Linked DNA regions of Drosophila melanogaster. The protein of the gene in region 1 purifies or fractionates together with the protein of each later gene. This does not show direct contact. Each region holds a gene or a part of one and is shown in the gene's direction. Other genes may lie near its edges.

The links.
Region 2: the proteins of CG10616 (region 1) and Ufsp2 purify together in Drosophila melanogaster (affinity purification with mass spectrometry, with the first as the bait; one large-scale study listed by BioGRID). This does not show direct contact.
Region 3: the proteins of CG10616 (region 1) and CG3288 purify together in Drosophila melanogaster (affinity purification with mass spectrometry, with the first as the bait; one large-scale study listed by BioGRID). This does not show direct contact.

The regions. Positions count from the first base shown.
Region 1 is NT_037436.4:12,469,985-12,474,801, forward strand, and holds CG10616 (uncharacterized protein), read left to right. Parts: upstream 1-1,743; 5' UTR 1,744-1,852; coding exon 1,853-1,945; intron 1,946-2,037; coding exon 2,038-2,212; intron 2,213-2,562; coding exon 2,563-2,653; intron 2,654-2,722; coding exon 2,723-2,848; intron 2,849-2,941; coding exon 2,942-2,989; intron 2,990-3,200; coding exon 3,201-4,194; 3' UTR 4,195-4,295; downstream 4,296-4,817. UniProt on the Drosophila melanogaster protein: May play a role in the trafficking of a subset of G-protein coupled receptors.
Region 2 is NT_037436.4:15,574,898-15,579,278, forward strand, and holds Ufsp2 (UFM1 specific peptidase 2), read left to right. Parts: upstream 1-1,672; 5' UTR 1,673-1,766; coding exon 1,767-1,805; intron 1,806-1,864; coding exon 1,865-3,649; 3' UTR 3,650-3,777; downstream 3,778-4,381. Other genes in the region: dop (drop out), read left to right, coding at 1-592, 657-856; mrn (marionette), read right to left, coding at 4,055-4,381. UniProt on the Drosophila melanogaster protein: Thiol protease which recognizes and hydrolyzes the peptide bond at the C-terminal Gly of UFM1, a ubiquitin-like modifier protein bound to a number of target proteins. Does not hydrolyze SUMO1 or ISG15 ubiquitin-like proteins.
Region 3 is NT_037436.4:20,834,561-20,837,740, forward strand, and holds CG3288 (uncharacterized protein), read left to right. Parts: upstream 1-1,621; 5' UTR 1,622-1,650; coding exon 1,651-1,960; exon of another isoform or gene 1,961-2,024; coding exon 2,025-2,395; 3' UTR 2,396-2,593; downstream 2,594-3,180.

The DNA.
Region 1 (4,817 bases):
TAAATAATATCTGGATACCGATCGCTGCACGGTAAGAAATTGCGTAAACCGGTGACCCATATTGCTCAGCAACCAAAGAAACCTTTCAGCACTGAGATATTTTTCATTCCATTGTTTTCTGGGATAATTTAAAGTAACAGAATTATCTTCTTACAACATTTTTTTGTCTTAACTTGACAGTAAGAGTTCTTAATTAAAGTCTGAAATTTTTAAAAATATTTTTTACGATTTTTTTTTACTAGTTTACTCAAGATCTATAGCAATATTTAAAGAGTTGAATCAATGGTCTCTATGGAATAGTGTTATATATGGTATATACATATTTCGTAACCATTTGATCCCAATTTTGGCCAGTGTAATCCCCGCGAGTAGCGTGCGCCCTCGCCCCATCAAGTGGCACTTCAACAATCAAGCATTCACACAAGCAGATGGTCCGCAGCCGTTGGCGACCACCTAAATGAAATTTCATTTAGTTTTTTTTCGCCCGTCATCGCCGCCGCAATCGCAACCCGCTCCTCGAGATCTCCCCATCCATCGCAGTCCATCCAATCCATCCGTCCAGCGCAGAGTTCCAGCCCCAATCCCAATCCCAATTCCAATCCCAATACGGTCTCCTATTTGCTTATGCACACATTATCAACGTACGCCCGCCTTATGGAGTGTTTGTTTACCTAATTCGATTACCGATCGCGTCCGTTCGCGCCATAGTCCACCGGCCACTTGACCATTTGGGTGGCACGGATCCGTACTCATGGGGTCCGCTCTTCGGCCAGACGTCGTGCGTAATCGCCCCACGGCAGCTGATGCAGTGCAGCGGAATTGGGAGATGGAGATGGAGATTATGTTGCTGCTGGAGCCGGGGGCCTTAATTGAAGAACCTGCCACGGGGGTACATACATACATACTTTCATCGCTTTGCAGTCGCGGAGGTAAATTAAGTCTTAATATCCTAAGTCGAGTGTCTAAAGATTAGGAAAATAAACACTCAAGGACTTTATCGATTCGTAAAGAAAAATCAAAAGTAAACTGCAATTACATTTCAATAATAAACAACCCTATATCAAAGAGTCTTCTTTAAATTACTGCTTGTCAATTTCTTAAAATTAATAAATAAATCTATTCAATCATGTTCTAATTGATAAAAGTAAAGTGTGCCTATTCTCATAAAATTTGTATAAACATTCAGGGAGTTATTTAAATAAGGTATATTTACGTATTTATACGTATACAGTTATTGAATGTTATTTTTTTTTTTAAATGCCTCGCCAGGAGCTGTTAAACATATATATTATATTATCTAGATGTTGCACATGGTATTTGAAACACTTTTTAAATAAATCTTGGACAAACATGTAAAATTTAGTAGTTATTCTTAGTAAAAAAAAAGGGTAATGTTGTTTTATTAATTACACTTTTTAAAATTTCGAATATATTTTTAAATTTAACAGTTTTCTAGAGATGGCAAGCTTTTTTAAATAAACTTCGTTAAATATCGATAAGAATTTACCTCATAATCCATACTTTTAAAATATAACCTTCGGTCACACCAATTCATAGAGCTGGTGCGTATCGATAGTCGGCACATTCAAAATAAATAAATTCCCAAACACCATTTAATTAAGGTCAATGGACTTGATTGTGGCGTTATTTTTAAAATCCGAAAATAAATAGCAATTGAATTCAAATTTGAATAGCTTAGCACTATCGCTCACTATCGAAATTTAGCCTCGATAGCAAGTATTCGATTACAGCTACTATCGTGGGGGGTGTACCCAGCTCTAAAAATTTGTCATTTCGGAACGAATATAGTTAACATTAAATTTACGAAGTAAACAGAAACCCCAGAGCCACGATGCGCACAGTGCTGTTGAGCAAACACGACGAGCTGTACCTGGAGAAATGCGCACAGGAGAACCAGTTCTCGTACGGGATAATCGTGGGCCATGTAAGTGCCATCCGCCACGTAGATTTTGTTTGGTTCCCCCGCTCAACTGAATCTCCACTTTCTCCTGGTTTCATCCGCTTCGGTTGAAATAGCAAGCGGATCTCACCAAGAGCGTGGTGGTCCACCTGGCCAGGAACAACGAGGAGGATGCGGATCTGGAGGACCTGTCGGAGGTCCGGCTCACCATCTCGGACATCAACTCACAGGCATTGGCCTCCCAGTGGCTGAGCGCCAGCAAAATGTGTCCCGGATCTTTTGACGTCATCGGTGGGTTTGCGTGCTGCCCCTGCAGTTTTATCTGCCCTACCCAGAAATAATCATAGTCATAATGCTAAGGCATATTATTTATGGGGACCTTGTATTCCTCCCGTGGATTCGAAATTTAGCCAAACCCTTTTTTTTTGTATGTTTTGTATATGGGCTAACCCACCCAATTTGACTGTTTAATCTGTCAATTCGAAACTTTTGATCTTTCGTCATAGATAAATCTTTAAGCTATCAGTAATGGGTAGTGAAACCAGTAATGTAAACTTAGGTACTTAACTAAGATGAAAGTAAGCGAAGCTTTAGGACTTACCATCTAGAATTAATTATTAATGAATTATTTATCTTTGCAGGAATCTTTGTGTCTTCAGTAAGATCCGATGTAGTAAACGAACAGAGCGCCGAATTTAAGAATGCCAAAAAGCTGTTTTCAGATATTTACGAGTAAGTCACTAACTATATGAGTATGATATGAGTCTCCATTTGAAATGACCTCTTTTCTTACTTTTCCAGTTTGCTCCTGAAAAGCAACAGCTCGTTTGGCGTCTACACCACCGACATTGCACAGACTGATTTCGTATTCCTCTCGTATTCGCTGGCCGACAAGAAAGTGCTCTGCAAGAACTACAGCTATGGCAAGTGAGTATCGGAAACGTAATCCCTGATCACAGATACGGGTCTCAATGTGTATTCTTTCTTTCACCAAACGAATCGCTTACAATTTATAACTAGACATTGCAAAAAAACGTATTTTACGGCAAACATAAAATGCATCATATGGTAACTAAAAAGTTGAGAACTATGTACTTTCATAACTTATGTTCTATGTTCAATAATCACTTTCTTTGCTATCCTTGTCCTTGTGTTTCTTATTTCTTGGAATGCATTTTATGTGTTAGTTAACCATTAGGATTGTTCATGTTTATATGGTAGTTTGATTACATTCAGACTTTTCCTAGCCTAAATATAATATGAGTATTTCTTTTGATAGCGGCGGCACTTTCACCAATATGGAGTTCCGGTTTGTGGACAAACCCTTCGAGTGGATTCAGCTGGAGTGCAGCTACGATTTCGATGATGTGCTGCCCATACTGGACTCCTCGCGTCGCGTCAACATCGAAGACCAGTTCCAGAGTATGATAGTGTCGGTGCGCAAGAACCTGCTCGCCAGTGAAGTATTCCTCCAAAACGAAGTTGTCGAGGACACCATCGATCTGCAGGCCTATATCAAAAAGAAAAAGACGAAAGTGGACAAGCTGCAACCGACATCGACAACAGGTGGCACGGCCACTGCCTCGAGCAACACCACTGACTCCCTGCCGCGGCTTGCGTCCGAAGGAATCATCGGAGGCACTGAAACCATCCGGGCGAGCATCGTGCTCCCCATGAAATGCCAGCTGAGCAAACCGACGGACATCAAGGTGCGCGAATTTAGTGGCACGCTGCACATGAGCGGCATTATTACCTCAAAGGTATTCTGCAATCCTCGAAACAGTATAGCAGATGTTAAGCGTTTCCTACGCGACGATGTGCTCCGTTCGCTGATAACGCGTATACAAGTGTACTGCGATGGACTCACCGATCCATATGTGACCAATGAAGCTCTGTACATTAGTGAGCCGCCGAGACGTGTGTTCTTCAGCCTGCCTTCAGAGGGTCCCAGTGCGTCGGTCGGAGCAGTAGTTCAGTTTTCCGAGTACTTATTCCGTGGCGAGGCACCAACTGTTGTGGTGGCCCAGGCTAAACAGATTCTGGACGTGGATCTAGATCCAGAGACCATATCCGTGGAGGCAGAGGGACTCCCGGATGATACGCACTTCAACAATTGCAAGATGGACGCTGATTGCATAGACGATTCTGGGATTATGACCAGTTCGATGCCAAAGCCGGAACTTTCGCGCAGCCTTTACATGGTGGGAATCGCAGTGGCCCTGCTGGTCCTCCTGTCCTCCGTGGCACTTCACTTTGTCCTAGCCGAGCGGTAGGCAGCTGGGATGCTGGGATGACCGAACCAATAAACCAATTTATATGAAATGTTTTTATACAGATACATTAATTGCATGTGTGCCCACGCACTCACCTCTCTATTGTGATCGTTTGTTTTTATAATTCATTGTGTACTCGTAGTAGTAAAAAAAAAAAGAATGTGTATAGGGATCACGTTAAATAGTTTTATTGTGGAAGCAAAACTGTGCAGCATTTAACACCAATATAATAAACTAATAAGTAATATACATATCTGCGATTCTTTGGTACGCCTATAGGGGAATTTCTCCTTATCTATTTCCATTTAAGAGGATCTAAGTGTTAATTGTAGTGTATTTTAGTGGTCAAGCTACAGCAATTTAACTTTTTACAGTTCATATGGCTTTTTATTTATAATTTATTAATTATTTTACAACCTTAAATCTCAGATTCCTGTTTTAACTTATGCCTACCGTAATTATATTAACCTTAAAGAAGAAATTAATAATTTCATTAGTAATTGTTTAGCATAAAACATTAAGAGTTCAGTTATGTACATTAGGCAAGTTAGAATTGTAACTATATTAAGTGGTAAGTAATAGTACTTTCAATTAGTACGTGCCTTTAGACTTTAATTACACAA
Region 2 (4,381 bases), 3.1 Mb from region 1:
AACGCAAACACGAAGAAGGCAGGATTTGCACGAACCAAGTCAGCGGAACCTAGTTCTCCGCTGCTAAGGCGCGCCTTGTCTCCGGATCGCTTGCATCCCCGTAGCGCGGAGACAAAGATATCGCCACTATGCTGTTCGCCGCCTATCAAACAGCCGACCCACCAACGAGTGGTGACCACGACTTGGAGGTCGACGCCTGGCGGCAGTGCATCGGGAGCTGGAGGAGCAGTTTTGGGGGCTCCTTCAGTTCAACCCCTGCAGTTGGTGCCTGCCGCTTCTGAGGAATCTCAAAGACAAACTGCTATGGCAACAGTGGTCTCCACAACCGCTGCCGGAACTGACCCAAGTGCCACCGCTGTGGTTACCCTGGCCAATTGTGAACCTTTACCGCGTATTGCCGAGGAGAAGGATTCGCCCACTAGTACCCAAGACAGCAGCAGTGTGTCCGAGGGATTTATGCCTGCTATCGAAGAGTTTGCGGAGGGGGAATCCTCATCTTCGCCCACTCAAACCCTGGAAAAGCCGACAAAGGTAAAGGCCACTGAGCAGCCAGAGATGGAGCCTGCTGGCAAAAGCAAGAAGGTCGACCAGGGTAATGGATTTAACGCCAAAGAAAAAAACAAATACTTAACATTTCTTTGCTTCCTCACTTTTAGGTAAAACCACAACTCCTGGAACGCCCAAAACTAAGCCCCACAACAGTGGCTGTAAAACTTCGATGACAACGACAAAGCCCGCCAGTCCAAGCGTGACCATCTCCACAGCACCACGCAAGGATACATCGGCTGTGACCGGTGGAGGATCCTCTGGATCAGGAGGATCTGCAGCCACTTCTGCTGCCAAGCAGAGGAAGTAGCGCCAGAGTAGCCGCGGTGGATATGGATGCTTGTGTTTTAAGTTTCGCGATTAAATAGTTATTCGTGATGAGAATGGGCGCGGATGGTGGGCAGGAAATGGAAGGCCGCAGGAATTCAATATATATCTGTAGAGCGGGGGGTTGCGTTTTAAACTTTTTTTCTCTAAGTAAGCTTCTGTTTTTGCGCAAATCATACAATTTAGCAATGAAATTAATTAGAAAATTCTAAAGCCTAGTAGTTTGTAGATGTCCTAACTAAAGGCAAACAAAACAAAACCGCTTGAAAACTCTTAATGTAAATTAGTAGGCACGAAAGCAAATCGAGAAGGAGCACGATATTCCAGTTGAAGCAAATATAAGAGGCACCACGCAATTATGTACTGTATATAAATGTGTAACATTGATAGAATTAACGAATTGTGGACTATGGATGATAGTCGATGGGAGAGTCATGGAGCCAGTGGCGCGGTGTTGGGCTGCGTTTATAACATTTTTGCGAATCTATACACTATGCCGAATTCAATATAAAATATATATTAAATAAATGTTATATGTGTGTGTACTTGAATGAACTTTTTAATTAGTTGTGCAGATGGAAAACTGTCGCAGCAAATACATATGTATATATATTGGAAATAATGGACTATTATATAAAACGTTGGCTCACATTTTAATAATTAAACCAATGAATCTCTAACCTAAAATCCTACCAAAATGTCAATGCATACATTTCTATCCAAACAATTTATTTGAATTCATTTTCAAACTTTCCAATAAATATACATATGTATGTCGATAGGAAAATACCATACAGACACTCAGTTATCGATAAAAAATTGCCAGCTGAGCAACATTTACTCGGGTGGGTGGCCGTGTTACTTTATTTTATTTTCATACATTTATCAGAAATATGCTACCCAAACTAAAAATATCCGCATTCCTGTTGAAGGTGAGACTATAAATCGTTTATTTAACCATATATCGTTTACGCGGTTTCACCAATTTTAGCGCCTGGAGCGAACAAAGCAGCAGTGCAGTGGATGCTTGTTTGGAGTTTTCTATGGAGAAGGTACCTTACTCCTACTGAGCTTCAACATTGAGTCCAGTTTGGGACAACTGAACTACGAGCAGATCCAACACAGATTCCCGGCGGAACTGGATTTATGCGGACTGGTCAAGTTTGGTGGTTGCACCGATGGAGAGGCGCACCTTAATGAGGTCATCAAATCTGTGGATATCACCGATAATCCCATCCTACTGCAATGCGAATTGGGCACCTTGGTGGGCTTGCGGGCCTCGTTTTTCGTCCATGGAAAACTGGAGGAGGTACCCTACGAGGTTATGGAGGCACATCAGCTGTACAACGACTTCTGCTTCACCCGGCTGCAGTGCGGATTCTTTCTGCAAACGGCCGCCACACCGGAATCCGTGGCCCGGGAAATGCATGTGCTGCGCAAAAGGGTAGCCGACGGAAATCTAGTGTTTAACGTTCCGCAGACAAAGATTTTCATTAATAACTACGGGCCACTGGACAAACAGTTTAGCGGCGATTCCCAAATTCAGGATCTTATAGACGTCATTCCAACTCCAGGACATGAAAAGGAGACTGCCAGTGTCGACAAAAAGAAGCTTAAAGGTCAGAACACGCCAGTCAAGAGACTGGCTCCGACTGGCTGCGACTACGAGGTGATCCCCATCGATGTGATGCGCTCGCGCAGTCGTGATCCCGTGTCCGGAGAGCCACCTCATCCGGCACTCAGCATTGCTGTGACCAATGAGGAACAGATCCGAGTCCAGGTACCATTAGAGATCGAAGCCATGGCCATTCTCTGCCGCAAAACGAAGCTCCAACGGCTATACGACGTACTCATCGAGAGCATCTGCAGAGGTCTCAGATTGTTCGAACTGAGCCTGATTGAGCATCTCACGGAGTCGGGAAGTGGAAAGCTGCTGGTGCCCGCTAGCTATCACTTCTACCCACAAGAGTTTGGTCACTTCGTGAGCTGCGCCTATCTGGAAGGTCTGAGTGACGATACACCAAGCATGCTAATGAGACGCAAGCGCCTGCATCGACAGTTTGCTTTGCCCATCAGTCGTCCTTATTTCCGCAGGGCCAACCAGATGCTTTTCCTAGGTGAAACGGAGGACGCACCATGGACTCCGCTGCTAAATACCCACATCGGATTACGTCCCAGTGGAGTTGTCGACGGCAAAGAGTACTTAGTAAATGGTAACTACCATTACTATCATTACCTGCAACAGCAGGTGCAGGACAAGGGATGGGGATGCGCATATCGCTCGCTGCAGACGATCTGCTCCTGGTTTGTGCTGCAGGGTTATACGAACGCACCGATTCCGACGCATCTGGAGGTGCAGGAATACCTTCACAAGATCAACGACAAACCTGCTGCATTCGTGGGTTCTTCTCAGTGGATTGGTTCCACAGAAATCAGCATGTGTCTGCAGGGATTCCTTAACGTGGACTCAAAAATTCTGCACGTAGCCTCTGGAGCTGAGCTGGCGACTATTGCCTCCGAGCTGGCGATGCATTTCCAAACGCAAGGTACACCGGTAATGATTGGTGGCGGTGTTCTGGCCCACACCATTATCGGGGTGGACTACTGCGTGCAGACGGGTCAGGTGAAGTTCCTCATCTTGGATCCCCATTATACAGGTGCCGATGATTTGGCCACCATTCAAATTAAAGGTTGGTGCGGCTGGAAGGGCATGGACTTTTGGGCCAAGGGCAGCTACTACAATCTCTGCATGCCCCAGCGTCCCATTTTGTATTAGGTTGAGCTAGTTTCTTTTCCACTCGCATTTAGGTAGGCGAGGATGTTTCGATATGCTTTCTTTAGGTATAACGTATAGGACATTCTAAATTTTCTATTTTATTGGGTAAATAAAATTATTTTGTATGCATTTGTTAGTTGTCTCTTCACTGTTTTTTACGTTTAGCAATATTACATGTCGACCCATCCTAAAGGACAATCTAGGAAAAGCTTTGGTGGTTTTCTGTTTTTATGTGTATGATACTTGTGTATTTTAATTTTATTCCACTTGTATGTTGAATGTCGATGATAAATGTGTAATCCCACACTCCCTTATTAAACCATATTTTAAAATTTTAGCTTGTAACAAAATGGGCACAGATGTTACTTCTAAAATAACTTCCCAATAATTGGTCGTAATACCGGGCTAAACACCACTCTTAGAGTACTTCTTCCAGTAACGCTTGACATCGTCGTGGCCATTCTTTTGCACCACCATTGTGCGAGTTCGCTCATTTTGCCACACCAGCATGTGGATCGACTGGGCGTAGTCTCGTAGCGTTACGAAATCTGTATGCGAGAGGAACTGATTGTACAGCACGCCTTCGGTGTAGGTGAAGCGATTTCGCTCTAATTCCCACAGCTTAATTTGATCAACGACTGTGGGTGGCAGGCAGGATTTAGAGTGAATGGCTGACTCGACCATGCGCATATTGGGATGCGCATACTGCTCCAGATACGAGACAATCTGCTC
Region 3 (3,180 bases), 8.4 Mb from region 1:
GGTCTTTCGAAAAAGAGAGCCCATTTGTATAATCTATGGGACATGCTGCCTCCTCAAAAACGTTTCATTAAATATCCAACAGACATCTGAATGTTTTTAAAAAAAGAAATAAACAAGATGAATATATGTGTAATAACTTAAATCATAAAAGGCTACACACACAGGCACAAAACACAGACACACCAACTCACACACTCTCATACGAGGCATGAAGTCATGGAAATGATAGGACTTGAATGAAACAATGGTATTTTGCTTGTATGATTCGTTGTTTTTTGTCTAGAACAAAAGCACAACGGCAGCAATTAATTAACCATTTTAATTTTAATTTTAGTAAATTATTCTTACAAGTAAACGCGTACCACGTGAAGTCAGCGAGCGTAAACTTTTCAATTAAACATTAAAATCAGTGAAAACTTCATGATTTTTTAACATGTTTCTTGTTTCTTCATCGAAAGGTGTTTTGTAATCTTAACATAGTTTTATGATTTTTTATTAACTAATTTAAGCTTGAGCACAGCGAATGCCTAGTTTAACTGTTATCAAAGAGGTATTTCCGTTCTTCAAAAATGTACATATGTCAAGTTTAGAAAGTTGTTTTATTTTCTTATATTGTAAGACTGTAATTTTGGAGTTTTGGGCTTTAAAAAAAAGCCATACAATACTTTTTAATCACGTTATGATAGTTGAAAATTTAAAATTAAAATTGATTGATTATACACATTTCTTGGAATACCTCTAAAGTTTCAAAACTAATGTACTAGGCATTTCCCAAAACTGCCAGCTAACGAGAAGATAACTGCAACAATTTATATCGGATAGCATGGGTTTGCCTGTGTGTTGGGTGAGTGTGCGTGTGTATCTGTGTGAACTAATGAATATTGCCCAAACGAGAAGTTGCATTTACAACACTCAGAAAAAAACGCAGCCAACAAGAACATTTGTGTGTATATATTTATAAAGCTTATATCTGCTCGATAGATCATGAAACATTATCTACAGCTGTTGCTACATCACACGCGCACACACTCATCCACCTCCTCTCAAACATGAAGTCATAACTGGAAAATGCGATTTTGAAATGCACACATACTGAGATAAAGCTAAAATTTTGACATTTTTACAGACCAGAAGCTTAAATCGAAAATATCTGTGCTAATATTTCAGCTATGAGACACTGTTAGAAAATGAGCAAAATGCAAAATGCTAAAGGTTGAGCCTATGTAGAACATTTGTAAGGGGTCTGCGCCGTGTGCAGGCCACGCCCATTTGGGCGTAGATGGAACCCGCCGGCGGGTCAGAAACGAAAATAAAAGGCAAAATCGTTTTGAGGTCACGGAAAAATCAACTTTAAGCCGACGTGCAGGCAGTGGAGGCAAGGAGATCGAGTGGAATACAATTAAATTACAAGCATAATATTATCAATGTAAAATCGTATGTAAAAAACAAGGCAGAAATCCATAAAAAAATTGACAACAAACAAACAACAAAAAATAAACAATAAAAAAATACAGAAACTACGAAATAAATACATTTACATAGATGTTGCAAAAACCAAGAGATTCGAAGATCCTCCCATGGATTCCCGTAACCCTCTCTGTAGATTTGCGTATTCTGTCAGTGAGTTAGCACTTCCGGATCAGCGACCCCATGTTTCTGGACGCCATCTTCTTTATACCGACACTGTTCACTTACCTGCTTATCGGACTGCTCATCGTCATCCTGTGCTTCGTGGTGGTCTATATCAGCCACAAGATCTATGTCTCCGTCTACGACAACCTGCCTCTGGCCGCCTTGCCCGGCAACTCACGGCAACAGCTCCTGGGACTGCGTCACTCCAATCATGCGATGACCATACGGGAATACCTGGACAGCTCGCTCCGCAGCCCACGTTCCAATCAGCCGAGCTTACGGTCAGTTTGGATTCAGAACCGGTCACAGATCCTGGAGACCTCTTCGGGTAAGATCAGTGCCAGTGAGACAGTTGCTCGGCCTACTCTTCCTCCCGGACTCTCTTCCTCTAGTGATGCGTATAGTGCTCTCCCTGGAGCCCTGCTACCTGGTCAGCGCCGAGTTCGATGTTAGTTCCAGCCGGAAGGCCATCAGTTTCTTGTGCAACTGCCGGGATCAGCCCGTGTGTGCTGCCTCTGAACCGAGGCCTTCTGGGTCCTTGCATATAGTGCGGTTCTATGACCACCTCTCCAAGATCCCGCGCCTCAAAGTCATGCTCAAGTGTAACCAAAGGCGGCCGGACCCGAGGCCGGACAGTCGTATCCAGTTGACCCTCGACGACGTGATCCAGGAGGCCAGAGATAACCAGGATGCCAGGTGTACGGATAACGCCGCCGCCTGCCGACCTGGTTCCTCAAGGCGGAACTCCCGGATACCGGATTAAAGGATAGGGGGGTATACGTCGTCTGTTCTGGGCTGCTTGGTCGCGGTATAACTAGTTTTATTAAATTGTATACAAAGATCAATGAGCTGGAGGCTCCAGGGTCGACGGCTGGTTCAGTGGGTCGGGCACTGAGCTCACGCTAGTTTACGATAATCGCGTGACAACGAAGGTGAAAGCCAGCGGAACAGAGGCGCACACATGTGTGTTCTTATAGGGGGTGTTAATTAAGCTTCCTTTTTTGGGTAAATATATTTACCAGCTACTCGATCTAGGAAATTTAAATTTTCAGCCCTATTTTCCCATTAATAAATTCCATAACAATTTCGATTTTCCATTCCCTATGTATAAACTGAATTCCGCATTTAATGACCTATTTAAGAAAACAAAACATACTTTGAATTCTTTCAACGCTGAACAAATCAAAAGTTTACAGCTCGTTAGGTAATTTTCCACATACAGAAGTTTGTCACGTTACATTAATATGTTTGGTGTTTGATTTAAAAAAGGCTGAGTGGGGAGTCTTCAAAAATATATTTATAGGACTATAAGGTGATACTTTAATATAAGCTCCAAGTTTAATTTCTAACAATTGGATTTTCCTACTCCCATGGCACGCAACCTTAACTTGTGGGGTTCGCGGGTCTTTGGGTCTTATCATTGTGACTGTGAAATTCGTTATCAGTAGATAAAAAGCTTTTCAGGCCGAGTCGATAGCCTGGCTATCATGCCTAATTGCCGAAATCACTACCCCCAACCAGATCTCGCCACCTCCACGAGACGAGGGA